Oreochromis niloticus: one gene and its partner. The protein of the gene in region 2 purifies or fractionates together with the protein of the main gene of each other region. This does not show direct contact. Links are inferred from orthologs where the notes say so. Each region holds a gene or a part of one and is shown on either strand. Other genes may lie near its edges.

What was found.
Region 1: the proteins of tubgcp2 (region 2) and mzt1 purify together in Homo sapiens (affinity purification with mass spectrometry; 4 studies listed by BioGRID and IntAct, counting the BioPlex papers as one, with this or other methods). This does not show direct contact. The link is inferred for Oreochromis niloticus from reciprocal best matches to the Homo sapiens genes TUBGCP2 and MZT1.

The regions. Positions count from the first base shown.
Region 1 is NC_031978.2:13,421,439-13,436,596, forward strand, and holds mzt1 (mitotic-spindle organizing protein 1), read right to left. Parts: upstream 7,255-15,158; 5' UTR 7,031-7,254; coding exon 6,979-7,030; intron 6,848-6,978; coding exon 6,702-6,847; intron 2,678-6,701; coding exon 2,654-2,677; 3' UTR 2,225-2,653; downstream 1-2,224. Other genes in the region: bora (protein aurora borealis), read left to right, coding at 7,706-7,855, 7,952-8,058, 8,213-8,258, 8,358-8,436, 8,565-8,609, 8,714-8,770, 8,871-9,139, 9,453-9,615 and 3 more; dis3 (exosome complex exonuclease RRP44), read right to left, coding at 12,304-12,372, 12,514-12,636, 12,728-12,886, 12,963-13,131, 13,278-13,492, 13,764-13,920, 14,056-14,142, 14,242-14,369 and 2 more. UniProt on the Homo sapiens protein: Required for the recruitment and the assembly of the gamma-tubulin ring complex (gTuRC) at the centrosome.
Region 2 is NC_031973.2:4,929,289-4,945,151, forward strand, and holds the start of tubgcp2 (gamma-tubulin complex component 2), read right to left. Parts: upstream 6,387-15,863; 5' UTR 6,234-6,386; intron 5,870-6,233; 5' UTR 5,859-5,869; coding exon 5,709-5,858; intron 4,816-5,708; coding exon 4,687-4,815; intron 4,430-4,686; coding exon 4,253-4,429; intron 3,447-4,252; coding exon 3,287-3,446; intron 3,195-3,286; coding exon 2,987-3,194; intron 2,104-2,986; coding exon 1,904-2,103; intron 1,158-1,903; coding exon 968-1,157; intron 891-967; coding exon 745-890; intron 667-744; coding exon 486-666; intron 1-485. UniProt on the Homo sapiens protein: Component of the gamma-tubulin ring complex (gTuRC) which mediates microtubule nucleation.

The DNA of each region.
Region 1 (15,158 bases), on a different chromosome or scaffold from region 2:
AAGCAATAGTCTCGAGAGAATCTTTAAAAAATTAAAGTGCCATTATCCTGTACTAGAGACCATAGTGGCCACTGCACAGCAAAAGATAATACTTACTAGCAAAATTAACTTGAAACCTAAAAATATTCATATGCAGAAAAAAGGGGACAAAATTACTGTGCATTAAGTGGATTACAGTTGCTTATGAGTTCATGTAACACACATTTGAATGCAATCTGTGTGGATGTGGATATTATGGGTTTTAAACCTAATCCTTGAAATATTGTAGCAGAAGTATAAAGTTGCATATTAAATTACTGAAAAAAGTACTTTGAATACTTCTCTATTACTTCCCATCACTGTGTGGGTTGTGCAGATGCAAGTATCTTAGTGGTGGTAAAACATTTGTTAGACATAGACAGAATATTTCATGTTTTCTTTTAAACCAAAAATTCTAGCCTTAATGGACAAACAAAGCCACGTCTCTGTAGGGAAAGCCTCACCCCAGCCTATTTATTGCTGAAGGTAATTAGTGACCTGAACACACAGAGATTTTTGACTTTTGTTTAAACTCTGCTTCAAATTAGTCTCCCCACTGTAGTTGTTTTCATACGCCAATATTGTTGTAATTCAGGTTTGGAAAAACATCAACAGACCATCTCTCCCTTTACTTAGGGACCTTCTAATCAGTCCAGTCTAATTATTTTCCTAATATCCACTGCACACACCTGAACTGTAATTGCTGCACATAGATCTTTCACTTTTAAATGAGACTGGCCTCATTTATCAGAAAAAAATAATCCTCGCCCTGGATAATTATCAGACATACAAATATAAACACCTTTAGAAGTTTTGACGTGAGGACCCGCTCGCCTCTTAAGTTGATACAGTCATGTGACCTGACCAGTGCCCTAGTTGAACACCTCTTAGATGTTCATGCATATATGGACGCTAATCTCTGTTAGGACTGTGGGATTTGGGAATATTTTGTTTAACAGAGATCAAAGTAGCTGCTAGGATGAGGAGAAACCTTCAAACACATCAAACAGAGGGCAATACATCCCGAATCCCACGCCCATAGTAGCCAATCAAGCCATGCATAACTATTTTCTTTTGTAAAAGAAAAAGATTCCAGGTTTTGGTCTTCCTTCATCAGCATCTCCTGCAGCTCACCCCCCACCGAGACCTGGGGTTGTTTTGGCTTACGGACTATCAAGCAGAGCCACCGTATCGAGTCTGTATGTCTCTCGTTCTTGGTTAAACACGGTGTTGGTAAAGAAGAACAGAGAGATACTGTGTTAGGAGATCAAAGCAGCAGTACAGAGATTTAGACTCGGAGCCTGTCAGTCAAGATGGCGAGACAAAGCAGAAGAAGACAGAAATGCTTACACACACATGCTCTCCTGCTCAATCGCTGGCTTTCTCTGTGGCGTGCCTGTGAGGGGTGAGGTGTTACTGTCAGATGGCTCAGGGGCTACTCATTTGTAGACATCTACAGCACTGCATGAACACCTAAGCTCTCACACATAAGGGGACAGACAAGCTACTGATAAAAGCCTGTGTGAATAAGAGGTCTCCTCTAGCCTATATATGGCCTGTGGAGGAATGTTCCCTGCTCTCAGCATTTTCTCTTGTCTCGAAGATGAATAGATCTATTTTAAAGACAGGACAAAAACAAAACAATGCTGTGTGCTTGTACGTGATTTAGGAGCTCTATTCCTTGTTGATCAAAGATGTGTTTTCTTTTTTGGGGGGGAAGGAGCAAGTTTGCAGTATTCTCCAATGATTTTTGAGAATAGAGCACAGACGTAAAGGAGGAAAGATTTCAGAGCAACAGTGCATCCTGCTGTAAAGAATGACCCTTGTTCAAGTCTTCGTTTTTGAAGTGCGTCCTGCATGGTCTGTTTTTGTATTACACTGTGCAATGTTCCACCAGTATCTTTTCCTTTTCACCCAGTCTGACAGGAAAAATAATTTCCTTTGTAAAATCCTGCACAAAGATAACCTCCCAATAAAAGGTGAAGGGGTGTAACTATGAATTCACCAGGGTGGATTTGGAAAACTGGCTCAACATAAGACAAAAATAAAGAAATAAAATATGAAAAATTGATTTTAAAAAGTACCTGATTAAATCACAGAAATGGTGATTCAGTAGGAAAAACTTGGTGGAATAAATTACAACTGTGCAAGCTTCCCAACAGCGATAAAGACTTCTGACTGTAATAAGAAAGACAACACCACCTGGTGGCCGCTCACTGTAACACTTTAATTTACACTTCATCTGCCACATGTAAAACAAAAATGGCAAAAGTTGAGAAAAAACAGAAATGCAAAACTAAAACAATTCACCATATATTACAGATATTAAAAAACAAAAACAAATTAATGATCAGAAATCGAGTCTGTACTCAAATTAAGGCAGAAAGTCAATTATAGCCTGAAGTAACAGGAAAAACATGGAGTATGTCTATATTTGAGACAGAATGGTACGAACTCATTTCAGGAGAAGACTACATTAAAAACACAAAAGAGAAGCACATTAGTCACCAATTAGACACACAGTGCCAAAACGGAGACAAATCTGATTGGCTGGCGATCCCATGTATGTACACTTGCAGGTAGGAGGCACGATCCCATTAAAAGGTCCAAAAACTTAAGTGATCTGTTTTTATCTTCAGTTTGTACAGTTCTCGGAAGCCTGAAAGAGAAAATAAATAAAAAGCTAGTTAGTCATCATCATGACTCATTTTTTTACCAGTAAAAAGCATATGATATCTTTGCCAAACAAAAAATGAATGGTTGGGAAAAGACGAGGAAAACACAAAGGCTACCTCAAAATTAATATCACACATGACCTTTAATGTGGTTTTTCAGTCTCTGCGATGAGAACCAAAGAGTTTTTGTTTTTTGTTTTTTTTAATTTAGCACAAACAGAAAACTGTAAGCGAAATCAACAAAATTAACAGACCAACCAGAACTAAACCTCTCAGTCTGTACTGTCTGTCGTTCTGACATACACTCACACCTTGCTAGAACCGGGATGGACCACCTTTTGCCTTCAGCACTGCAATAACTTCATGGCACAGATAGAGATTTCAGTCCATACTAACACCACAGCATCACACAGTTGCTGTGGATTTGTCAGCTGCACACCCATGATGCTCTACTGGATTGGGATCTGGTAAATCTGGGCGCCATCTGAATACAGTGAAACAACCAGTTTTGGATTATTTGAGCTGTTAAATGAAGATAATACACTTTGGTCATTAAGGGATGGATAAGCTCATCAACAATACTGTCCAGTTTCCACTAAGGTGCCCAAAGAGTGCCAAGAAAACATCCAACCCGATTACACCACCACCAGTGTCCTGAATTCTTGATAAAAGGCAGGGCCTTTGCAAACCATAGCCTCAGTTTCCTATTCTTAGCTGACAATAATGCCACCCAGTGTGGTCTTCTGCTGCTGTGGGCAATCTGCTTCAATGTTCAGCACATTGTATGTTCAAAGATGCTCTTCTACATACATTTGTTGCAACAAGTGGTTCTTTTTAGTTGCTGTTGCCTTCCTATCAGCTCAAAGCAGTCTGGAGATTCATGGCAGGAAAATCCCAGTAGATCAGCAGTTTCTAAAACACTCAGACCAGCCTGTCTGGCACCAACAACTATCCTGTCCTCAAAGCCAACTAAATCACCTTTCTGATAATTGGTTTCAGGTTCAGCAGGTTGTTTTGACTATCTCTATATGTCTGCCTAAATACATCAAGATGCTCACATGTGATGGGTTAAGATGTTTGCTGTATTGAGGACTTGAGCAGTTGTACCTAATAAAGTGGCCAGTAAGTGTACAGTAGGTCGCTTTTAGATCAATGTTCCTCCCAGCTTCATACTCACAGTAGTCTCATGACACTGAAGGACACGTGTAGAATATTTATCATCAATACCAAAGATTTGTTTGCTTGTGGGCTTGAGCACTGACCACATTTGCTCTTCATCCTTTTTTTTTTTTTTGTTCTCCAAGCAAGATCTGTGTGTGTGTGTGTGTGTGTGTGTGTGTGTGTGTGTGTGTGTGTGTGTGTGTGTGTGTGTGTGTGTGTGTGTGTGTGTGTGTGAGAGAGAGAGAGAGAGAGAGAGAGAGAGAGAGAGAGAGAGAGAGAGAGAGAGAGAGAGATTTTGAGTACTGGATGGTAATTCTAAGAAAGCTGTATGTATCCTTTCATACACAGCTTGAGAGATAAAGAGATCTCTCTTTGGAATTGGGGAATAGAGAAAATGCAACATACACAAGAAACGCCGAAAATTAGAAATGAGTGAAAGGGACAAAATGCTTTTTGCATGTGCTATGACTGTTTATGGCATTTTCTATTTGTTAAGGCAACTGCATGCAGTAAGACTTCTGTTGAAAGATTTGAATAAAAAAATGTTACAAAGGCTCACTTATAGTAATTACTTTTTTTGCAAGTTGACTGTGGTGGTCTTTTAGACAGGAAGCCAACAGATTATAGATGCAGCAGAGCATATCTGAAAGGGGCCAATAGCAGCAGGTTAGGAGAGAACTTTATATATATAAAAACCCCTTCTGTGAATCTGGTACTTCATATCCTGATATGCATTAAATGACCACAGTTTATTTTCTGGACGACATGTTAAGCCTCTTTCAATGAGTAAAATAATCTTGGTTGGAAATCTGTGTTCAAGATTTGGTTATACTGATTCTTATATCTGTGCAAATCTAATAATATGCCCATAATGCTTTAAAATCAGGTGTTTTGCTTACTTTGTGTCGGCATATCTCAGTAAAACTGGTATGCAAAAAGAGGTTCTGTCACCCTACACCCGGCTGCATCTTTATAAACATTCTTAAATTTCAGATGTTATCTATACTTCACACACACACAGCCTGTCACACTGCCATTGCTGGTGTTCGCTTTTGTATTGACATCAATTAAACATCTGAATAAGTCCGGAAAGACTCGGTTGGGTGGTGTGATGATAACTAGAACAGGTATTACATATTTGAGGGATTACACAGAACACTTTTCTTAAATGTAATGGATTATGTTGCTTAATTACTCCCAGGAGAAAGTTTTCTCCATAAAATTACCTGAAACTCATTGTCTCATAATTATAGAATTTTATATCATATTATATAACAGTATAAACCTATAGGCTACAGTCCCACACACAAACACAAATCCCTATCCTAATGAGGACACACATATGATCTTTACTCTAGTATTTTTCTTTAGTATTTATGTATGAACACAAAGTATGCTGGGGTGGGGTCAGCATTCACTCAGCTTTAACATCACTCTGGGTTCTTGGCTAGATTAGCGTTAGCATGTCGTCTGTGCAGGTGCTTGTAAAGATCCGTAGTTAGGTTAGCAGCAAAATTCAGTTGTTTTTGTCCTGGGCAGTTTGCAATTTACCATCGTACTGGCTTTTAAAACTAAAGTATTGTTTATATCCATGCTGTAGACTGTGTCACTATTTTCCTCCTCCAGTGCCATGAGAACTGATAAGCGAATCTGATAGGCAGGCAGGCTAACAATTCCAAAGAATTTAACTACTTGGACCGATTCCACAGACAAGTGACCGCCACTGTGGGACATACCACTTGTTTATTCACTGAAGTAGGGTTAGATGTGCATTTAACAGTTTCATGCATATCCCATCTTAAAGATATTAAAAAAAAAATGTGAAAATTGTTCAAGTTACACAAAAAAAACTTAAATGTAAAGTATTTTTCTAAACACATAGTTTCAAGCATATTTAACATATTTCAAACAAATGGTCTGGCAGAAATCACCTCTTCCTCAATGTGAAAAAGAGATGATGTTTGACTTTTAGAGGAAATTTTTAAAAAAATGTGCCGAAGCCCATTAATGTCATAGGTAAGGATGGTAAAACAGTGGACAGGTACTTGAGTGTTCACTTGAATGAAAGACTGGTCTGGAGGATAAATAGTGATGCTATGTACAAGAAGGGTAAGAGCAGACCGGACTTTCTAATTAAGCTCAGATTCAGTTAGCAGTGGGAGGCAGCATCAGTGCCAGAGATGCCAGCAGGATCAACAAACTAATCCACAAGTTTGGAACCATCATTGGCTGGAATCTGGAGTCACTTAAGTCAGTGAGGGACAGGAGGTCACTGAATAAACTGCTTACCATTATGGACAACCCATCTAACTCACTCCATTCCAAACTACAGAGGGCTGACTTTGCTGCCATAAAGGAAAGCATTCCTACTGTTCTCTATAAAACTCTACAAGTCTCCTTTATATAACTGGTGAAAAAAGGTGAAACAAGATTAGATGGCAGAGATATTTCTGTATCAAACCTTCTTCCTGTGATTTCTCAGATTTATAGTGTACATGTTCTTTTTAATGCCAGTTGCATTCATAAAGAATGCAAAACTAACACAGACAGACCTGTGTTTAAATTGGAACCAAAATTAACCTAACCCCATGCATGTCTTTGGACTGTGGGGGGGACGGTGAGTACCTGGAGACTATGCAAAACGTCATACAGAAAGGATCCAGACTGGATCCAGACCTTTCCTAATAAGAAATCAAGTATAAGCCTGTGGTACCTTTAATAATGCTGTAGATTATATCATTTTTATCCTTCTGCCGCTTTAACAATAATTTCCTTGTTGGCTCAGTAAAGTATCTACATGTATGTACAATGTGAGCTGATTAGCTTTTAGGGAGGCTGTGTCTGTACCTTAAGGGACTCGGAAGCTTTCCGCAGTTCTTTGATGACTGCAGAAAGAGCTTCTGGGTTGATGCCCTGCTCACACAGTCTCACGCATATGGATAGAGACTCCATATCCAAGCCAGTGTTGAGCAACCTGGAGATCTCCAGCAACACTGTTGGGGGAGGAGGTAAAAACAGACACAGCTATGACACACATGCTAAAACGTACTATATATATTTTAAGATGAATTTACAACTATTATACAAATACACAAAATACTACACGCAGTAATTACATATTTACCGTCCATCGTCTCCCGTACTGCGTTTAGGTTTGCGTTTGCTGCACTGGCCATAGTGATGGATGACTATAGCTAGCCAACGCTTGCTAGCAAGTGGCTGACAAATTAAGACTTAGAGACACAACGCAAAAAATCAGCCAGATTTCAGGCGTTTCTTATACATTTAGATTGAATCAGCAAAAACCAGGCTAGCACAATCACGTAAAGGTCAATATAAGATCCTAGCTAGCTGACAGCGCTCATTGCCGCTACTCGCGAAAGTGTGCTGAAGGAAGTGACGACACGAAATTCTTCATTGGTTACGCGAACTTCCTGCGACGATTCTATTGGCTAGCCTACCTTGTGGGCGAAATTAAAAAACGTTTGAACTGGTCTCTCTGCTGATTGTTTGCTGCTGGCTTTCCAATGAATATTGCTGTTAGAGTTCCGGCTCATTCACAATTGTAAGTACCAACAGTTGTAAGACAAACGTTATCTAGTTCTTGCGTAAATGTATAAATAAGTTAGGGGTGAAGTGAAATGTGTGAAGCTAAATCCTCATTTTAAAAGCTGCTTCCTTCGAAGGTTTTTTTTTAACGCTATAGAAACAGAGGGAGTAATGTAGCCAACGTACCAGAGTAGAACAAAATAATACAAAAAATCGCCTTATCACGAAATAATTTTAGTGTCTTTTTGTGATTGGATTGTCATTTATCGTCATCCCGACTTTGATATTTCTTGTCAGCTAAAATGGGGGACCATGCTGAGATCCAGATCACTCCAGAGACTCCAGGCAGGCCCTCCATTAGAAACCCCTTTGAAAGTCCAAACGACTATCACCATCTTCGCGAACCGCTGGTGCCAAGTCCATCTGTATTCAAGTCCCTACCTTGTAAAGCTGTAAGTTTTAAATTTACTTCATATCATCTACTCAACTCGTTTACTCATGATTTGATGTAGTCTCTTAATAATTCTAGACTTGTTTAATTTACCCAGACTCCACCTAAGTTTAACTGGTCTATTGATGAAATGGCCAGTCTCCTACCAGTGCACATAGACCCAGAGGAAATTCAGCGACAATCTTTTTACCTCAGTCAGACAAGGTAAGTGATGTAATAAGGCTGACACTGTGACAAATGTGAAATTCTTTGAGGAAGAAATGTATTGTTTTATTTTGTGATTTTAATACCTCCTCTATGTATTAAACCTGGGGAGCTTATTAAAGACTCTATCAAACGTGAGTGGTCTTTCTTTTAGGACGGATTCGGACATTGAGGAAAAACGTCAGAATGCTATTGAGCAGGTAACCAAATCTCATCCTTTACTAATGATACAGAATTTAGTGTACCCAAAATTTATAGATTCCCTTTGTACTGATGTCATTATCCTGTCTCCAATAAAGTTTTTCACCAAAGGAATAATTGTCCCTTCCCCCTGGGCGGCACCAGAGACCCGTAAAGTCCCTCAGATTTCTAAGAGTAGTAAGTTATCTTATCTTTTATGTTACTTCTTAATTCTTATAGGTTTTGTATTTGTATTTATTTTGTTTTTATCCATAGATTTCTGTTGAACTCTGGTTTTGTAAATGCTTTTATTTTTAATGTTGTAGGTTCAATGTCTGCAATGATTGCAGAGGAGCCAGAAAAAATTTCAGGTTGGTTACTTTTTTTTTTTTTTTTTTTTACCTGTTTTGACTTTTTTTCCCCCTTTTACCTACTTTTTATATATATATATAACTTTGTGTGTTTTGATCTACAGTTGGATGTCAGACAACCCTTACATTGCCTTTGGCTTTTGATTTGGAGAAAGTTCTAGGTAAACCTTGACTAAACACCAACAGGATCATAGTGAGAAAAAGAAAATCGAACAATCTGCTGTCAAGTCACTGTTTCTGTTTTTTTTTTTTTTCTCACAGGGGAATATTACCGTTATGAAGAAGTGTGTGATCCAGTGCAGGAGAGTCTTAGCAGCTCCTCCTTGCGACGAAAACTATTCCTTGATGGCCAAAATAGTTATAGTGGCTCAGACAGCTCGAGCCCTCCAAGTCCAGAGAGAGGCAATGCCGGTCAGGAAAAGCCATCTCTCAAGAGAGGAGACTGCGTTGAAGGTTCTGAGGGAGAAGCTGTATCGGCTATCTTTTCCTCCCCTTCGGCCTGTGGTGTGTCAGCTCCGACGCCTTCTACGGTAAGTAGAGGAGTGTAGGGATTTCATATACACAACCGTTACCCAAACAATTTAATTTTAAGCATAAAATTCAAAAGAAAAAAATGCATCTGGAGATCATATTTTGCTCAACGAATATTTTAATAACAGGAAAATGAACATTTACACTGTTAAGCCTTCACCCAGGCTTACACTAAATAGTTGCTGTTGATTTGTTTTTGTGTTTTTGCTGCCTTAAAGGATTGTAAACCTACACAGGTTTTTATCTTCTTTGTTAAGCAGTTTACACGTAATGAAATGTGCTACATAAATAAAATTGCTATTGCTATTTTAGGGTCAGTTCTCTTCGAGTCCCATCCAGCACGGACGCTTCCGGGATTGTAGCCTTGGCAGCATCGACAGTCCTCTCTTCCGTGATAGGTCCTCTCCTGCTGGCCTCATCTCCCCCACAATTTCTCCTATTGTTGCACATGCAGCACGCACACCTGTTGGCTCAGGTACACAGTTGTAACTAAAACACTAGTTACACTTTGTAACTAAAATTTTAATATCCAAACAAATCAAAATTGGAGAAATATTGGCTAAGGCTACATCCACACTGACATGGTTTTGTATTTAATAAATAAATATATAATTTTTTTTTTTTTTTTTTTATCATGACAACAGTTTTCATCCAGCTAGTAGTTTTAAATCTTCCTCTATAATACATGATCCTTTGAGTATGGTGGTGATGCCTCCATGTATTTAGTTGGTGATATTATGATAAAATGCAGAATAAGTTGCATTGGAGCAAGAAGAACACCTATATAATTTGGTCTTTACATTGAATTAAGGACTGGTAATTGAGGCAGATGTGTCTTCGTTATCTTCTGAATGGGGATGTGCTTCAGGAATGTTATGATCCAACAAAGAATATGTGACTGAGAAGACAAAATGTTGGTAAAAAGGCAAGTAATTGTTACTGTGTTCTTTCTTTAGCTGAGAGGAACCAGCCGAGCTGTTTGACCCCACGTGGTGCCCCCCTGGACATGGTCGCTTCCTGCAGTGAGAGTCCATTTGTTGAGGGTTGCTCTCCCATTCGTAGCTGCTCCCCACACCAGCTCCATTGCCACAATGAACCCCAGCGCATTTCTCGACCCAGGCCCAGACCTAGAGGCCGCTGCTGGGCTTCCCCTCCCCTCATCTCACCGATCCTCAACCCTAAGCTCCCAGACAATGAGGTGGCTGAAGAACACCTCCCCTCTGCCACTCGCTCTTCTTTCCCCTCTATGGAATTAGATTCGTCATCATCACCCCTGACACAAGACTCTCACCCCACCAACACTGAGAGAGTTAGCATGGACCCAATGGAACCTGTGAAAATGGAGGAAGGCAAAGAGACAGAAATTGAACCGAGGCTCGAGTATGAGGAGGATGAAGGTGTGGGGCCTTCCGAGCAGCTGACCAGCTCTCGCATGGTTAATGCATCAGCAATAGAAAACTCTCACATGTTTGTGTCTCTCCTGGCAGAAGGAAGCAGCATACGCTACGATTCTAGCATGCAGGTTTGTAAAAACAGCTTAACCCCGGGAAGGATAATTTCATATTGATGTTTTGGGTAACAGAATATTTCTGATTGACTGGCTTTTTGCACGTGTTCAGGTGGACAGCGGTTATAACACTACCTCAGCAGTCAGTCTTATTGATGGCACCAACAAAGACTTTGACAGCAAAGAGTTCTTCAGTTCAAACATGGCAGAAGATGCCTTCCAAGTCACTCGACACACTAAAGTAAAGGTACTGACTTTACACACAATCACAAGAATGTGGATACATGAGTTTGTGCCTTTAGATCTAATTGTTCCTAAAACTGTTATTATCAGCATTAAGTTTTGTTTTAAAAAAAAAAAAAAAAAAAAAAAAAAAAAAAAAAATTACTTCTTTCATTCATTTAGTAAAATTTAAGCAACTCTTCACTGAGAAAAACCTAAGATTAGACACTTTAAACAACGACCATGTTAGTGTAACAGAAAACCCTGAAGTGTGCTCTAGTGTGTACATTGTATATCCTTACTTTCTTCTTCTTTTGATTAAAACTAAGTTTCTTCTCTTTCAGGTGTTTTTTCCTCACCACTGAGCCAAGTGATAGATGGATTGAAAGGGATTCTTCTTCTAGTGAAAGCATGTGCTTAATATTTTGCAATCAAATACAACAAGGTTTACACTATGTCTAAAGCATTTATGGTAAATATGTTCAGTTAGACTGAATTGTGTTAACTGTTAAATGAGGTATGAATACAACCATGGGGTTTCACAAGTTACCTGACTGGAAGCAGAGTTTCTTTAATCACAGGTTATCAAAGGGAAGTCTAATCCACAGACAGTTGTACTTTTGAAACCAGCATCAAACTATCAAGTCTGCATTCAACTTGCACAACAATAACCTTCCTGAAAGCTGTATTGATCCTAGCACAATTTCTGTTGTTTTTTGGGAGTTTTGTTTTCTTTTAATTTGGTGTTGGATATATCTTGACTTTCAGGCAACATCAGATCTGAGCTGTATTTATGATTTTTATAAAACTTTTTTTTATCATGTTTTGATACGGAGTTGTTTTATATCACAGTCTGATGCGCTGAATAATGCCACTAATGAATTAAAAGCTGACTGAGCCATTTCTTCGCTCTGTTTCTAATAGTTAAATTCAGTTTCTGGATTATTGTCACATTAAGTTACGTTCAGGTTTGTTTTTTTTGACTGGCTTCAGGATACGTTGTTTTATGGACCTCTGCACAGGGTGTTTATTTGCTAATAATTTAAATCAACCCAAGGAATAAAAGTAAAACAAAGCTGTAAACTTCTAATATTTAAATAAATAAACAAATAAATGGTGAAATCTTCCAATATTTTGGCTTATGACTCAATTCAAATCATGTTTGAAAATAATTCTGAGAAGTTTTGTACATCAGAAACAATTTTAAAAAAATCATTTTAATGACTGCGCTGCCTTTAGTATGTAAGACAGCTTACTCTTCCAACAAATGTTTTAAATCATATAAAAGAGCAAAATTTTACTCATTAAAAAAGTTTTTTTTTTTTTTTTTTTTTTTTTTTAGCAAAACAAAACAACTGAACTTTATCAATACATCAAATAGTCCAAACGGGAACATCATGTGGTTTAGGTGAAAACTGAGAGCTCCTTCCTGTGTCAGCGGTCCAGTTTTTGTTTCTTGGCTGGTGTTTCGGTATCTGGGGCTGGGACACTCACACCAGGGATCTAAAATAAAACAAACTTTTATTTCTAGGCAAAAAATGAGCACATTTTCTTATCAGGGTTGACTGAAATCTGTATCTTAATAGTCTTCAATCAAATCTGAATACTTTTAACTGTTAAAAGTTCAGTTTTGGTCTTTCTTACCACTGGTTCAATCAGAGCCATGCGGATCTTCTGGTGCTGAATATTGGAGTCATCTAGGCTAATGGTGACCTTCACCTTGTCGAATATGTGGAACTTGTGCTGTTCTACAGACAGAGTGGGACCCTACACACGTGCAAAAAAAACATGTTAAACCCTACTGACTTTCTATACAAAGCTGATTGCTTTTAAATTTACCAAAAAAAGGTGTTCATACCTCTTCCTCAAACACTATGTTTGGGGAAACCTTGTCTTTTGAGTCAAAGAACACCGTTCCCTCCAAGCCAAACTTTGGGATGAGCACGATGATTGCATTCTTCCTCACAAACAGAATGAATCCTTCTTCATTAAGGATTCCTCGGCTCTTGAAGAACAACTGCAGAAAAAAAAAGGGTTTTAATATAAGACAAAGACAACCAGTTCACACAGTTCACATGTTGATGTGTGTTTACCTGTGTGTGGAAGGCCACAGAAGCCCGCTGTGCATACTGAGACATTTTGTGTCTGTAGTTGAGGTTATTGCAGAGAGCTGACTGTTTATGCTTGTCCATTAAATCTGGGTAGGTGGTGTCTGCACCTATAGCCACTGCCAGCAGGCGGTGCACAATGATATCAGCGTACCTGAGCACAAAGTACAAAAAGAATTCAACTGGATGACAAAAGAGTATAGAAACAACTGATCCATAATCAATTCTGAACATCTCTTTGTTAGAAAAGCCTGACGTACACATATTTTGCCAAGATGTGTAGAACATCTGTTTTCATACCTCCTGATAGGGGACGTGAAGTGCGTATAAATGGGCGAGGCGAGACCATAATGATGGAAATCGCTGTCCATGCCAGAACAAAAATAGACAGCTTGCATCATGCAGCGAGTGGCCAGGATGCGCAGCAGCGTGTTAAAGTATGGGAATCCATCCACTTTGGCTGCATCAAGCGAGTCAGCCAGTGCCTTTGCTGAATCTGTGTGGACCTCGACCTCCTGATGGGAGTTGGAAACAAAAATGTTGACACCTTAAAATATTTTTCTATTAAAAACTTAACCATATTTACCAGTTTTTGTACTTAATGTACTGCTGTGATTCCCAACTAGAAGCAGGGACTTATGCAGTTGCTTTCCAGTATGAGAGAAACCTACAAAACTATTTAAAATTAAAAATGCTCTTAGTCAGGATCTTGAATTAAAGCTGCTTTACTGACACAATGTCCTTCTTTCATAGCAAGAATTCACATGACTGTTTGCCTTTACTCACCTTAGACTTTGCAGCTTTGATTAGGATGTCATAGTTAGACGGAGGTGGTGCTGGGTGTTTCCTCAGCAGAGCGCACTCTGGGAATTCATCGTAAATCTTCTGAGCAACTGAAATATTGGCCAGCAACATGAACTCTTCAACCATTGAGTTTGTCTCCCTAATGAACAGGAGATGGTTTTATTTACACTCATCAAAAACACAGCATGACTCATACACTGAAAAATATGAAGACAAAAAGAAGCTTCTGCAGAGAAATGGATTCTGCAGAGTGCTCCTTTTCAAAGTTACCTACATGAGTTCTTTGGTCTGAAGATCAATGGGGTCATGGGTTTCACTGTCCATGTGAAAACGGACCTCTAAAGAGGACAGTGTCAGTGCCCTAAATGATATCAAAATTAGATTCATGTGAATTACAGCAAGTCTAAATATCCAGCTTTTTGCCTCTGTTTTTTTACTATTCTTTCACTTTGGTCTTTACCCTTTCTCTATCCTCTGCCTCTTCAGGATTTTGGCCAGTTTGTTCAGACCCCGTAGGCTTTTTGTTATATCATCATTCTTGTTGGTGTCATCAATCCTCATCTGGGCCTCAGCATAGGTCAAAGACGCCTGGACCAAAACAAAGAAAATCATCAATAATAGTAATAATAAACCTTATACAGAAAAAAAATTATTGCATAAAATCTAACACAAAATGCTAACATTAAAAAAAAAGGTATAAATTTAAAAAACAAAATGCTAACTGTGCATGTGTGTTGGCACGATACCTTGGAGTTAATAACACTTTTTGTGAATCGAGTCTTTAGAATTTCAGCCTTGTGGTTTATTTCCCAGATACACGAAAAGGCGAGTCTGGTGAAAGCAAATAAAAGAACCAAACAATCTAAGTACATTCGTTTTATTCATTTAACGGGAAAAGGCTGCGTGTGTTTGTGTCATTACCTGTCCACATTGGACCGCAGAGAACAAAGATTGGAGCTGAGCAGTTCAGGAACCATGTCTATCCTCTGTGAGATACAAAATTAAACACACTGTTAAAAATCAAACATATTCAGATGATTTAAATGAAATACAAATAAGAAGAAATTTGCACATTTGTTTCTACTATTAGAGCCATTTCTAAGTGAAAGGCCCATAATAAGCTTGCATCACACAGTTTCCTGCAGTGTTGAGCAAAACACAACACAGTGCAGTGCAAGCATGAAGACCGGAGAGCAATCGCACAATCAAACTTTGAAAGCAGCACGGTATTATGTACATTCGGTGTGACACATATTTCTGTGACCAATAAAAATAGACCAAAAATGCAGAAGGACAGGGAGCAGGAGCTACATTCGACTTGGTAAAAAACACATCTGTGCACATGGAACGGAAGAATGGAGGTCTGCAGGGATTTGG
Region 2 (15,863 bases):
ACCAGTTGTATTTTAAGTCAATAAAACTTGTGCATCTATAGAAACCTTTACAGTAACCACACAAAGAACAATAGAGACCCAGGAGAACCTCTTTTTAAGACTAATGTTTTCTAGAGGGATCTTTTTTGACCAAAGTATCAGTTTAAGTCATCTTAGCTTAAGCTGAACTAAACTGTGAGTAAATCTGGGCTGAAAATGCACCACAGCGAAGCCAAAAGGTATATTTGAGTTATTATAACAAGACAAAACAAGTTGAAACAAAAATGGATGCAAAAAGTAACCGTCTCATCCAGGTTATCTTGTTTTCATAACCACTGGAAGCTACAGAAATAGCCCAGCCCTAACACTAGACACTGACTTCAAAATTCACAGTTTTAATCTTGACAATAATTTAGTTCTGTGTGTGTCAAATATAACAGAACAAACTGGTCACACATCATCTCATCCTCTCACCACAAAATATCCAATAACCATTAAATACTCACCTCAGACGTGAGACCAGCTCCTTCTCTTCCATGAGGAAGTCCAGAAGCACTTTGCTGGCGTAATTGTAAGCTTTCTCTATCTGCTCCACGTAGGCCCTCTCCTTCAGGGTGTACAGCACCTCCTTAGCATCAGGACACGTCACGTCCCGGCCACACTCCCGCACCACATTGAGATATTTCCCTGCACGATAGCACATCTCAACATCGCCTAAAGGATTCCCATTTTATGTTCAACAAGTCTTAAATGTTCTGTTTTTACCTGTGCTTAGTATTTTGTCTGCCATCTTCTGTAGAAAGGAGGGAATCCGATGCTGCACAATGGTGTATCTCTGATCCCAGTACTTGTCATTGTAGTCTTCCTGAATCTTCTCCTTCTGCAGCTCGTGCTCCTCCACCATGAACTCACTGTGGAGACACAAAATATGAGCTTAAAATTTTACAACACACATTATTCAGAGTTAAAACTCTGGGAGCAGCTGAACCTGTACGGATCCTTGATGATGCCCCTGTAGATCCACTTCTCCAGGATCTCAAAGTACGGGACGCTGGCTGCTTTGGTGAGGTACAGACACAGCTCCTGAGCCTGGCTGTCACCGGTGTAATTGAAGGTTCTGTCATGGAGAAGGCTCAACGTTGACCCTCCCATACACTCTCCTTTGTCCACGGAGGACGCTGTGAACACAACAGAAAGCATAATTTAACTAAATATCTGTTTTATAATAGGTGAGATTCCACACTAATCAGGCATTTTCAAAGTGTTCAGTGTTGTTTGTGTTGGTGCGTTGGTGAATCTAGACCCGGTTTGATGTGCTGCATTCTCTTATAAAGTGGGTCAGATCGCCTTCCAGTCAAATGAACTCTCTGGTGCTCATTTAAAGAAGCTTAGACTGCAGGTCTTCTACGACCTGTGACCCACAAACTAACTTTTACAAATTGAAAACATTCAGAACTCCTCCTCACCACTAATCTGCAAATTCAGCTCTATATCTCTACAACAGATCAACATCTTTTCTTAATATCTGCTTTGTGAAACATATGTTTAAACATTTTTATGCTTATTTTAAACAACATCTGAAGACCGTTTAGAAGCAGATGAAATTTTAGGGCTTGTAATTCAATAAACTGCTGGTATGCAGAAGCAGAGATCCCCAAATCTATAAACATCCAACTTTAAGTTATACATTGCACTAAATCAAGTCCACCCTGGCAAAGGAGAAGTAGCACTCTATTCTCAAGAGACTTTCTCCACCCTCTGGTTTGCAACTTGTTCTCCTTTTGCACCAGGATGGTGCCAGAACACCAGCAAATCTTTTACTGATCACGGCGCCCCTAACTCATCCTTCTTTCAATGTTTCTTTGCCAACTTTTAATTCATCATGGCTGCAAACAACAACCATGCATCATCTTCAGTTTCTTACCGATTGATGACAGTATCTCCATGGTGCGCATGGTGGGCTGGATGTAGAACCAGAGCTTCTGCAGGGACAGCAGGCCCTGCCGCTGGAGATGCTCCAGCTGAGTGACCAGAATCAGATATTCCTTCATCAGCGTCCTCATCGCCGCCGTCAGGGCGTGGTTTACCTGGCCGTACTCGAAGGATGATTTCTCCTCAATGAACCTGGAGGGCAAATGCAACACATCACCTTTAATAATCTTATAACACATAATCTCTTTTAGACCCTTTAAGCAAAGATCATATGATTCTGAATTATTTGATATTTATGTCACTTTTTTCAAGCTCTAAATCACTGTGACTCCCATTGATATCAATCATTAAACATGACATTAATGCAAAAGAGCAACAGAAAATAGATAAAAGGACTCAAGAGACCAGTTAAAATATATACTTTGTATTTAAGGCGCACATATCATACATAGAATCAGATGTCTAAATAATATATATAAATAAACCTTTCAAAGATAATGCAAAAAAACACATGCAGCACATTTTAAGACATTTGGAAATTAAAGTTAGAAAATTTAATTTAAAAAATTTAAAAACTGTTTTGTGAACAGATATTCAGGACTGGAGGTACTCTGATATTTGCCTCTTTTACCCATGCAGAAACCTGGAGGGCTGAAAAAAGACTTTTAAAATTTCCAACTTTACAGCTACAAAAACTGATCTCTAAAGCAAATTTCCTCATGTAATAACCTAAAACCTCTACAGTATGATTTTCTTCTCTTTTCTTTGTACATCCATTTATAGTTTAATAAAGCTTAAAGTCAGGTGTGTGGCTTTTTTGAGTGACAGCTGAGTCACTAACCTTTGTTAACTGCAGTCACTGAACTGAAGCTTCGATTCAAGGTTATTCTAAAAACTCAAAGCTGATGTGAAGTAAACATTTTAGTTACAAGAGATGCTGTTGGGTTTTTCTTTTGCATTGCATCAACCTTGAGGGTCCTAGTAGTTCATCTGGAAAACTCATTAGTGATTATGTGCATTTGTGAACTTAAGCTTGTTAGCAGTAGCTCATACCGGGCACAGTCTACGCTCTTACCGTGTTATAGTGGAGTAGTATGAAGCGACCGGTAATATTCTGTTGACAAGCTCTTTGACAGACATGTCCAGTGTTGGATCAACGATGAAGGAGCGGTTCTGCCGCCCCAGCACCGGCTGAGCGGTGATGTCTCGCCCGTCGACTCCAATCAGCACAAACAGCAGATCCTCCACCAGAGCTTGTTCCTGCGTCCCCAGAGGCAGCGTACCTGACCACGGACAGCAACCACATCAATACGCACAGGGGGACTATATTTAGACTCCATGCTGCACTTGTGAATGTGTAAATTTACCAACTTACCAACGGGCACAGCTGGTTCTCCTTGAGGGGTGGGGCTGGTGATGAAGTCTCCGATGAGAGCTGGACGATCATACACCCAATTGGGGAAGACGGGGTTGGGCTGGGTGGGGTTCTTCTTGTTGTGTTTGTCCCTCAGCATCTTCCGTGTGACTTCAGCCGGCTGCAGGCGAATTCCAAAAACAAAGAAACTCAGGATTTAAAAGCAGCAGATGGTAAACCGAGTGAAATTTAATTTAATATTTATCAATAGAAATAGACTGACCCTTCTAACCTTTAGATTAAACTATTGATCAAGGCAGCTTTTTATTCAGAAAAAAGGATGTTAGGATCTTTCTGCTGAGCCCAAGTGGCCAAAAACAAATCATCTGCATGTCTAATCACTCCTATGTGAAATACAATGAGAATCTAATGTGAATGAGAGCTTTTTTAATCCTTTTTATCCCCTTTATTAGCCTGAGATTCATCATCTCTGATCTGATCTACTTTAAGAAAAAGAAACCTGAATAGCTCTATGAACAAATATTCTGAAACTTAAAAAGGACCATCTCTGTGAACCTCCAACTCATCTTAATTGTAGTACTCCAGAGAGCAGCCTTGTATGACTCACAGTCCAAAATAAGCCTTCTTTATCTTATACTGGGCCTTTGTGCAGCTTCCCAGCTCATTAACTGTTTGAACCAAACTGTTTTAGCTCCCCCATCTTCAAACCCACTTTCCTCTGAGTGACTGCCCCTCAAAAATTATTTGACCAGCAGGTGGTTGGAACTTTGCGCTCTCTTTGACATCACACAGAGCCAAAAGAACAAAAACTATCTGAATCTGTTTCCATATATAAAATCGACCAATAAATACATCCTATCTTAATTAAGTTTCTAGCTGAACTTATTTTAGCTCCAACCTGTCCTGTAGAGTTTCACAGGCTAATCTAACCTTCAGATCAGTAACATCTGAGTAAGAGATGCTCACCAGAGGAGCGTTGGAGCTCGCTGTTACATTGCCAAGCTTCTTACGCAGCTCGTCCAGCTCCTGCATGGACATCTTGGTGCTGGTTTGAGGCAGAGAGTAACTGGTTGTCGTGGTTGAGGTGGTGTTTGCTGAAGACTCCGACCTCTCTTTAGCATTCTGCTGCAGAAACTGGAGGGTCTGCAAAACAATATCAAGACAGGGATGCAAAATTAGATTCAAGTATTTTATCAACCAACTCTCTGATGGAGGGACATAAATCAGCAAATTTCTTACTTTTGCTGTGTACAGTGTCTGGAGTAGATTACATTTTTTAAACTACTTTTCAACATTAATAATAAGGAAATAATTGTGATTTTAGACCAGGAAGTATAGAAATATTTGGACTCTATGACAAAAAGAACCAGATGAAAAGCAGCATGTAAATGAGGCATTACCTCTTTGTCCTCACAGAGTTTGGAGAGCAGATACACCAAAGGGTCGAGGTTCCGAACATTTTTGGACTTAAGCTCCTCATATTTCCTCAAGAAATCCTCCGGGGTTTTAGAAAACTCTGCTAACTTGACCTGAAAGTGACACAACATGCAATATGAATAAAATATTCAAAGAAACATATCTGTTGCGAACATTGGGTGTTTAACTAAGAGTAAGTTATAAAACTTTAGCGTTAGGGAAGTGATCGCCACTGCAAACAAGAAAAGGGGCTCAAGGTGGGGGTGGGATTACATCCCTGACAGACTTCTCAACTAATCCTGACTTCCTCATGCATTACCACAAATCCTGTCTTAGTACCTTATCATATACTTTCTCTAGATCTACAAAAACACACAGTTCAGTTCTTTCTGAACTTCTCTACACTTCTCCATCAACATTCTCAAAACAAGCATCCCATCTGTACTGCTCTTTCTTGGTGTGAAGCCATACGTTCCATTCCCCAGGCATCCTTTCACTCTACAAGATTAACTTCAATACTCTGTCATTGGTATGTCAGGTATGTCATCTGAACCAAGAGCCTTTTCACTCTTGATCCATCCATTGTCGCCTTCACTTACTCCTTACTAATCCTCTGCACTTCCTGATTTCCTACCTGTCCCCCATCTATCCCATCATCCTCTCTCCTCATTTTCTTCATTCATAAGAATCTTAAAGTACTCCTTCTGCCTCCTCACCAAACTCCCTGTACTCATTAGTACATGTGCAATCTGGAAGGACAGCCGGTCATAATGATGCATTTGGGATTTTGCTAAAGTTAACTGCGAGATTAATGTCTCTGGGAGGAGTTAACAAACATTACTATGGTGCCAAGTGCAGAAAAACACTCCTTCTGAGAGAGCCTTTGTCTGCTGTAGTGTGACTGCGTGTCTGATAAGAGGACAGATGCTAATTAAAAACTAAATTATCAACTGATGAGCCATGAAAAGCACTGCAGTGAAGCACAGTGTAGTACAGTATAGCCCACCTTGGCACTGTGCGCGGACACTGTGGTGGTGACATAGGGGGTCCTGTGTTTCTGGAGCAGGTCTATGTAGCCCTCTGCTCCGTCGCCGCCTCGCACATGAAGTAGGCTGAGCAGTTCGTTCACGTCGTGGTGGATCCTGAACTCGCTCATGGCTCCCGCAGCTGCCATAACGACAAAGAGGTTTTACTTTGTAGGAGAGGGCAGAAATAAAGAGAAAGAATTTCGCTCAGGCGGTCACAATGGATATGAACATCAGAGCTGCCGGCTCACACTGACAAACATCAGATGAAGCTTAGTTGAGGGTTTAACGGCTGTATGTTTATGACATCCTGTCTTTCAGTGGTGATGCAGAGCTAACAGTTGTTTACGCTAGCTGGCTAGTTAGCCTGCTACAGCAGGGGGATGCTATCTAGTAGCTCTCTGAGCCAAGTGAAACATGAAATGCCATAAAAGCAAATAACAACGTAACTCAGTAACATGAAGCCCTGTTACAGGTTTAACTAGAGTCTGAAGTCATCACTCTACCTGGCACTCGCCTTTCTGCAGCGTTTACCGGGGCAGATAGCAAACGCGCCCACTACTATCAAATTCTTCTTCTTCTCCAGCAGCGAAGTGACGGCGCCACACTGACCCCTACAGGTCAGTGACCTTGTGACGCCTGACCATACAAAAATAGCCAGAAAATTATGTATTTATTTATTTATTTAAACCGGAGTGTATATTGAATATTCTGACAAATAAAAAAATAAATTAAATATAATTTCACATATATTAGTTAAAAGTTGTAACATTTTGGCTCTTTTGTGCAAAGTATTGCTTATGAAATGTATTGTGCAATTTATTCATGTTTGTCAAGGAGAAAAAAATCAACATTGATAATGCAGAAGTTTCAAAATCTCACAAAAATAATATTTCAAATAAGATTAGGTTAATAGGTAATAATATCTTAATGCTGGGGCTGAAAGTCGAATTGTAATACAAAAAGGAATATAATAACTACTTTTAAAAATCAATTTCGCAAAAATCTATCAATCATAAAACAGGCATTTTCTCTAAAATCACAATACTGCTTTTGTTACTGTACTTGAACCCGGGTAGATGTCTGCTTATGTATAAGTTTGTAGATTAACTGCAGCTACTATGATGCTGACCAAGGTTATTATAGTTAACTAAAACTAAACAAAAAACTAAAATTAGATGTAAAAAAAAAGAACCCAAACAATTTTAGTTAACTAAAATACAAATAAAGATAAACTTCTGATAAAGAATTAAAACTAATTGAAAAGAATTTGTGAACTAAAAAAACCTAATTAAAATAAAATAAGAGGAACTAGCCTTAGTTTAAGTATCTGTTAGTGAAAAATTAATATAAATCAACCTACTGTTTATGATGATGTGAAAACAGCAGAAAACATAATTTATTTTAATAAACGCACTAACAGTTTAATTCTTTAACTAATGGAAGTACATCAAATATTAGGGTCTCTAGTTCACTAAGATATCATGGTATCGTGTGTACGTCTTTCACACAGAAGTGGAGATCCACGACCAAAGAGACTTCCTCCACCATGGGCATCGTGGGCTGAATGTAGAACCAGAGCTTCTGTTGCTGGCGGTGTTCCAGCTGTGTGACCAGAATCAGATATTCCTTCATCACCATCCTCATCGCCGCTGTCAGGGCGTGGTTCACCTGGCCGTCCTGAAAGGATGATTTCTCCTCAATCAAACTCGAGGAAAAACGCAGCATGTCGCCTTTAATAATCACTTAATAATCACCACTTTAAGCAAAGATCACATGATTCTGAATTATTTTATATTTATGTAACTTTTCGGGCTGTAAATCGCTGTCGCTTACATTCACAGTATCAGTTAATCGTTAAACATGACGAAAGTATAAAGTATAGCCCTAATTCATGTAATATGCCTATTTAATTTCATCCACCCTGTGTATAAAAATAATAATCTAATGTATAAAATTCTCAGGGTCATTACTGGAGTATTTTGGAGTTTCTGATGCAACAAGCACATCTACCACAGCTGACATGACTGCTGACATCATCCAAAACTTCAGAGTCATCTACTCCCTCCCCGAACATAGCTGAGGACTTTACTGAGGCACCACAGGCTTCTACAGCTTTCTCCGACATAACTGAATCTGCAGAGGTATGTACTGGGGTCTTTGCAGTGTGCATGATTTGGTGGATCTAAATGGTAAATGGACTAGTTCTTATATAGCACTTTTCTATTCTACCTGTGCACTCAAAGTGCTGTGCGTAAAGAGTTTTGGGGCTACATGTAAAATCTTGTTTAGGACCACCAAATCCTAGAGTCAGCCCTGGAAAGGGGTCAGTGCAGAATAAACGGTTTAGGACAGGGGTGTCCAAAGTCCGGCGTTGGCCCGCGGTCCATTTTTAATTGGCCCTCAAGTAATTTTATAAATAGAATAGAAAATAGCCCGCACTTCAACTTTTGCTTGAGTGTATTGCACTTCTTAGTTTTAACACCAGGGGGAGCTACTGTTAATCAAGGCAGTTGCTCTACCAAAAAGGACAATCACAGAAGAAATTTACCCCAAGTTACCAAACATGGCAGAACCAAAGAAGCAGAAGGTAGAAAGTGAATGCAGAAAATTTCAGACACGGGGGGAGTGAATATTTCTTCAAAGAATTAAAGGGGACGTGTGTCTGTTTGATCTGCACTGAAACTGTGGCAGTTATGAAAGAGTATAATGTACGACGTCATTATGAAACCAAACATCAGGCCTATGCATCCTACACTGGTGCTGAGCGAGAGCAGAAATTAAAGCAAATGCTAGCTATCATGCGGGGTCAGCAACAGTATTTTTTTCGTGCTCAAATTGTCCAGGAAAAGGCTCCAATAGCAGCTATGAGGTCGCCCAACTCATCGCAAGACATGGCAAGCCTTTTTCAGATGGAGACCTCATAAAACGCTGCCTCGTTAAAGTCACCGAAATAATGTGCCCGAAAAAAGTGCAGGACTTCAACAATGTCAGCATGTCCAGAACTACAGTTGTGCCACGCACTGAAGACTGTCAGCCAACATTAAACTGCAACTGTCTGATAAAGCTGTGCTTTTGATTTTTACTCCATCGCATGCGATCCGAGCACTGATGCCACAGACACCGCACAGCTGCTAATTTTTTTTTTGCGGGGAGTGGACGAGAGCACGAGCACTTTAGGTGAGTAAAAAATATATTCCACAGTACCCGTGTGTTAATAAGCATGCATGTGCAGGTACACATGCTTCAAATATCAATAATGCGCATCAATTCTGTCACTATCCTGCTTTTGCGCACCACTTTCTTATATGCGTTTTTCTTGTTAACCAGTGTTGGGCAAGTTACTTTGAAATAGTAATTCAATTATAGTTACTAGTTACTTCTTCAAAAAAGTAACTGAGTTAGTAACTGAGTTACAATATTCTAAAAGTAATTAATTACTTGGAAAAGTAACTATTGCGTTACTTAAAAAAACAAAAACAAAGAACGTTTAACCCCCTGGCGTCCAGGGTATAATTGGCCATTTTTTTTACTACTCTTGATTTTCTCTCCACATTTTACCTTTAACAACTATTTACTTTGCCTTGTTTGGTATCATTCTTTTTAGCGCAACCTCACGTGCCTGAATTTACAGTTATGTTCTCATTTTGTCATACTGTATAACCAGAATTGATCTAAAATCAGACAAAAAACATAAAATCACAGTAGAAAAAGTTATTTTTACTGTAACAACCATAAACATGTTTAATGAATCATATTTCATAACTTCAAATGCAAATATTAATTGTCAATTTTAAAATCCTATGCACAAGTTTTGCAAACAACAAAGTTATTTGCATCCATTTACTTTTTACCCCTTTTTTAAATAACCATTTCAAACTATTTAAAGAACAATCAGCTGTTCTTCAATAAGATGCCACACAAATTATTTGTGCCACTCCAAAAAAATCATTTCTGTCCACTATAAAGGAGAACATCACAGCCTGATACCTGCAGGTCTGACAGCAGCAGGTGTATCACTCCTGTTTCTACCTGGAGACAGCAGTCGCCTCATTGTTCTGACACACAACACAAAACTATCCACAACACTACACACTAACTACACAAGACAACACATTAACTACACACTCCAAACACGCTAAACGTCACAAATCTCACATCTCAAAACTCGCTCTCTCTCTTTTCCTGCTCTCTCCCTCTCTCCCTCTCTCTTTCTCTCACCGTCACTCCTAAAACTTTTTTTTGTTTTGTTTTTTTGCTCATAAGCAGAGAGTGCTTGCTAGCGCTAACGTGGCGAAACTATTGAGGGAAAAACGCCGCGTATATATTGTTTATCATGACTCTGGTTTTACGTGGCCTATCGACACAATTTAAAAACTGTCACCTTGTTGCTTTGTCTTTAAGTGGTCATGTGATTGACTTATGACTACTTTATTCTTCCTCAGTCAAACAGCAGCACTCATGCGATTGTTTTGCCTCCTTAGCTCCAGGTGTTGTGCTAGACAGTGATCGTGATTAGCGTCTGCGGGAGCGCGCAGCTGCTTAAAGCTGTAGCGTCCAGATTACTTACAGCTACTTCCGTGCAACTGATATAAGATGCGGTAAGCTGAACACAGCTTCAACCGTCTGTTTGTTGAAAAATAGTAACGGACCGCGTTTCCTTGTTAGTAACTGTAACGCCGTTGTAACGATAGGAATAGTAATTAGTTAGATTACTCATTACCAGTGTTGGTCAAGTTACTTGAAAAAAGTAATCAGTTACTAATTACTGATTACTTCCCCCAAAAAGTAATCCCGTTAATTTACTGATTACTTATTTTCAAAAGTAATTAATTACTTAGTTACTTAGTTAGTTACTTTTTAAAAACACGATTTACAACCTGAATAGGTGATAAAGCGATAGATCTTTCAGCCCAATTCTACTTTTTCTGCATAATCCATCATACAAAATGTAATCAAATGGAAAAGTCTCTTTTTAAAACTTGTTTTATTAGTTTTAATCTTTTAACTTTATGCATCAAGCAAAAATTAAATTATATGCAACATTCTCTGACTGGAAGAAATTTGTTTAACATTTAAACCTATTTTCTGCACATTCCAGCACATAAAATAAAATATTTTTTTGTGTTTACACTCACTCTTTCAAATAGATGCAAGTAAAACACAGCAGAAAATAAATAAAATCAAAGACTAGCGGTCCTGTTGCTCTATTTTCACCTGTAAAGCAGGACTGGGGTAGGCGGAGGTTTACCCTGGTGCAGGTGTGCTGCAGCGGTCAGTGGAAGAATCCGCGAGTTTCTCTGTGAATTTCACATTACGTCGTAGTACACTCGGTGCTTGCTTGGAAGTTTAGGGGTGTGTTTCGCTGTAAAAAGAAGTTTTCTTCCCACGCACAACGGACACTAATGTTTTTGTCACTTTTTATGGAATCAAACTCAAAATAAGGTCAGTACTTCCACGCCTTAAACGCTGCATGCTACACTCTGTCCCGCACTCGATATATTATGATCTGCAGACAGCTGTTGTCACGAACGTCGCACTCGCTTACGTCACTGTCATGAGACGTTCTTGCAAAAAATCACGGTTTTAGTAACGCAGTAACGCAGCGTTCCTACGTGAAAGTAACGGTAATCTAATTACCGTTTTTGCAATAGTAATCCCTTACATTACTCGTTACTTGAAAAAAGTAATCAGATTACAGTAACGCGTTACTGCCCATCTCTGCTCGTTACTGAAAAAAGTAACGCCGTTAGTAACGCTGTTACTTGTAACGCTGTTATTCCCATCACTGTTGTTAACACACAGAGTACACACCGCTGTGCACAGCGCACGCACACGCAAAGTCAGCTGATCTCATCTGATGCAGATCTGCTCCTTGATCAAGTGACATTTGTCCGGATTTTTGGCACGAGTGGCGTACGATGAGCACCGCGGCTGGATGGCTCGATTTACATACCCAGCGCAGCTGATACTCACCAGAATAATTCACTAAAATTATATGGACTCATGTTATTAAGTCCAGTTCAGTCTTTTAATGTTGATTACCGTTTCAAATGAACGTTAATAGGTGTGTTGCTAAGTCTAAGAACTTAAATAACAAGCTTGAAATTTACCCGTCCCATTTTCCCCTTCATTGTTTTTTCTCTGTGCTGTAAATCTTCTGTCCAAGAAGAAATCTGCTGCTGTTCTGAGAATGAGCTACCAAAGCTGTTTTGTCTTTAATTATATTCAACAATATAACACATTTGACCACTTTTAAATGATTTTTCTAACTTTAATACACTACAGTTAAGGTTATATACCTAATTTCTAGTAAGTGGCCCAGCCCCTCCTATATTTTTATGTATGTGGCCCTCAGTGAAAAAATTTTGGACACCCCTGTTTTAGGACTATTCATACTGAAAACGTAATGCCTCCCCGTCGGGGAATCGAACCCCGGTCTCCCGCGTGACAGGCGGGGATACTCACCACTATACTAACGAGGAAGGTGCCCAACAGCTTTTATGTTGCAGTACCGATCCTGGCCACAATAATGTCCATTATGGGATAGTGTTGTTGAAATTGAAATTGATTTCCATTGCTATTTTTTGTGTGATTTTGTTGTCAGCACATTCAACTATATAAAGATATAGAGAACACAGTATTTAATAACAATATATCATTCATTCAGATCTAGGATGTCTTTTAATAATAATAATAATGATATTTATTATTTTATTTGAGGGCGCCATTCTAAAACCCAAGGTCACTTTACAAAGAGAAAAATACATCAATAAAACAGTAGATTAAAATACATTCTAATAAATTAAAATACAAAAAACAGGAAAATACAACCACAAACAACAAATTTAAAAAAACAAAAAACAAGACAAAAAAAACACGATTTGACAACAAGTAAAATCTGTATTAAAATGAGTAAGCCAGTTTAAACAAGTAGGTTTTGAGTTGTGACTTAAATAAGGAAAGGGAATCTATATTTGTTAAGGCTGAAGGAAGTGAGTTCCAGAGCCAAGGAACAGAGCGACTGAAAGCTCTGTGCCCCATAGTGACAAAGCGAGCAGAAGGAACAACAAGATGAGTGGCAGATGAAGATTTGGTCTTATTTTTGTGTTATTTTTTTGAGCAGTGTATATGGGGCTTTCCCATCATGTGCAGTCTAACTTTTAACATTTCCAAGAACGAAAACGTAATGCCTCCCCGTCGGGGAATCGAACCCCGGTCTCCCGCGTGACAGGCGGGGATACTCACCACTATACTAACGAGGAAGGTGCCTGACGACCTTTATGTTGCAGTACCGATCCTGGCCACAATAATGTCCACTATGGGATAGTGTCGCTGTTTCACCGTTTTGATACGTTAGGTTGTACAGACTTATTTATGTGTATCAAACGTCTAAACAGCGGGCAGAGAGACTAGAATGACTAGATACCTCAACGTAGAGTTCTCTACCGTCAACGAAAAAAGCAAAAAAACAGACTCACAGACATATAACAGGTATGGCAGTCCATTCTCCCTGCAGCACAGACTACACTGCCCATGAGGCTACATTCTTTAGGGCTATGCCTGTAACACTCTGCCTATTGCCTTCATATTGAATAATTTTTTGAATTATAATTTTTAAAAATATATTTATTCATGTCATTATGCAGGCTGCAAGTAGAGGTGACATGGGCCGTGAGATTGAGACCCAGGCATTAGAGCCTCTTAATGCGTGTTTTGTTTGGGTTTCCACCGGGGTGGAATTACCAAAAATAGGAAGGGCATAGCCTAACATATGAAACAGGAAAAGACTGCCGTGTAATCAATTTATTTCAACAAAGTAACTGTAAACGGTAACTGTAACAGAATACAGTTACTCATATTTTGTATTTTAAATACGTAACGCCAGTACATGTATTCTGTTACTCCCCAACACTACATATAATTGGTAAACTCTCAACAGTGCCAGAAGACTAAAGTGGATAAAAATATATTACATCTGTAGTGGTTTAGCACTCCCATAGAAAGTGAATGGAAAACAGCTGACAGCAATGACAGCACTTAAAGCTCCAGGTAGTAGTATTGAGACATTTAAAGACTGGATAGAAGAAACATTTACTGAAATAGCTCACAAAAAACTTTTCATTTGTGGAGATCTCAATATTGATTTGCTAAATCCAAATAAACATAAAACCACTGAGGAATTTATTAACACAATGTACTGTATGAACCTATTCCCTAAAATTACTAGACCTACCAGGATCACATCACATTGTGGAACTCTCATAGACAACATTTTTACAAATGACATTGAAAATAAGACTGTAAGTGGACTCCTGATAAATAAGACACGTATGAAGAATTCCTTAGAATATTTACATTATTGTACAATACCAACTGTTCAATAAAGCAATATAGTAGGAAACATAAATATATGGACTGAACATGGATAACAAAAGGTCTGCAAAATGCATGTAAAGAAAAATGCTCTATACAGAGATTTCTTAAGAAAGAGAACTGAAGATGCTGAAATCAGACACAAAAGATATAAAAATAATTAATATACTTAGATATAGTAAAAAGGAATACTATGAGAAGCAATTAGATATAAATAGAAATAATATTAAAAGATTATGGGAAATACTGAATAGTGTTATAAAACATGGGGCTGGACAAAAGAACTATCCCAAGTATTTCATTGATAATGACCATGAAGAATACAATATGGATGATGTGGCAAACAGTCTCAATAAATTCTTTGTAACTGCTGGAACAAGAACAATCACTGATCCTGGGAAAGCACAGGAAAAACTGGATACATTGATAAACAGAAATCCACATTCTATGTTTCTCACAATAGCAAAAGTGAAAATAGCACAAGTTATACCTCTATACAAATCTGGCAACAAACACCATTTCACAAATTAGAGGCCTGTCTCTTTACTACCTCAATTCTCAAAAATTCTTGAAGAACTGTTTAACAACCGACTGGAAACATTTATAGATAAACATAAACTACTAAAAGAGAGTCAGTACGGCTTCAGATCAAGCAGATCAACATCACTGACACTATTAGATTCAATAGAATACATCACAAATTCCATAAACAATAAGCAATATGTGGCTGGGTTATTCATAGACTTGACAAAGGCATTTGACACTATAGATCACGATACATTAATAAGAAAACTGGAACATTATGGTGTCAAAAGGGGTAATTTTAAATTGGGTCCTGAGTTATTTAAGTGACAGGAAGCAGTTTGTGAAATTAAGTGGTGGTTGCTCCTTATGTATGGACATTGCTTGTGGTGTACCACAACGGTCAGTTTTGGGCCCAAAATTCTACAGCTTATACATTAATGACATTTGTAAAGTGTCCAAAGTATTAAAAATGGTATTCTTTGCTGACGATACAAACATCTTCTGCTCTGTTGATGATCTGCAGCATTTATTGGATGATATGATTAATGAAGTAAGAAAAGAGAAGTTCTGGCTTGATTAAAAACAAAATCATTAAATTTGAATAAAACTAAAATTGTGTTATTTGTAAATAGTAGGTTAAATAAATAAATGGTGTTGATATTGAAAGAGTCAGTGAAAATACATTTCTAGGGGTAATAATAGATGAAAAACTTAACTGGAGAGCTCACCTAAGATATATTCTTTCCAAAGTATCAAGAAGCATTGCAATCCTAAACAAGGCAAAACAGATATTAAACGGGACATCACTTCATTATTCGCTATTTTAAGCGAACAGATTTTGTGTAGTATTTTTTTTCTCTCTTCTTTTCTTTGCTAAATGTACCTGTGTATTGTTTACATGATCGAAAAAAAAAAGGAAAAGCTGTTGCCTCCCCGTCGGGGAATCGAACCCCGGTCTCCCGCGTGACAGGCGGGGATACTCACCACTATACTAACGAGGAAGGTGCCTGACAGCCTTTATGTTGCAGTACCGATCCTGGCCACAATAATGTCCACTATGGGATAGTGTCGCTGTTTCACTGTTTTCAACGTAGAATTCTCTGCCATCAATGAAAGCGGCAAAAAAGCAAACATAATTAACGTATGATTCAGTGGACAAAATATATTGCATCTGTAGTGGTTTAGCACTCTGGGACATCATGTCTCGCTCCATCCACCACGTTGCACCACAGACT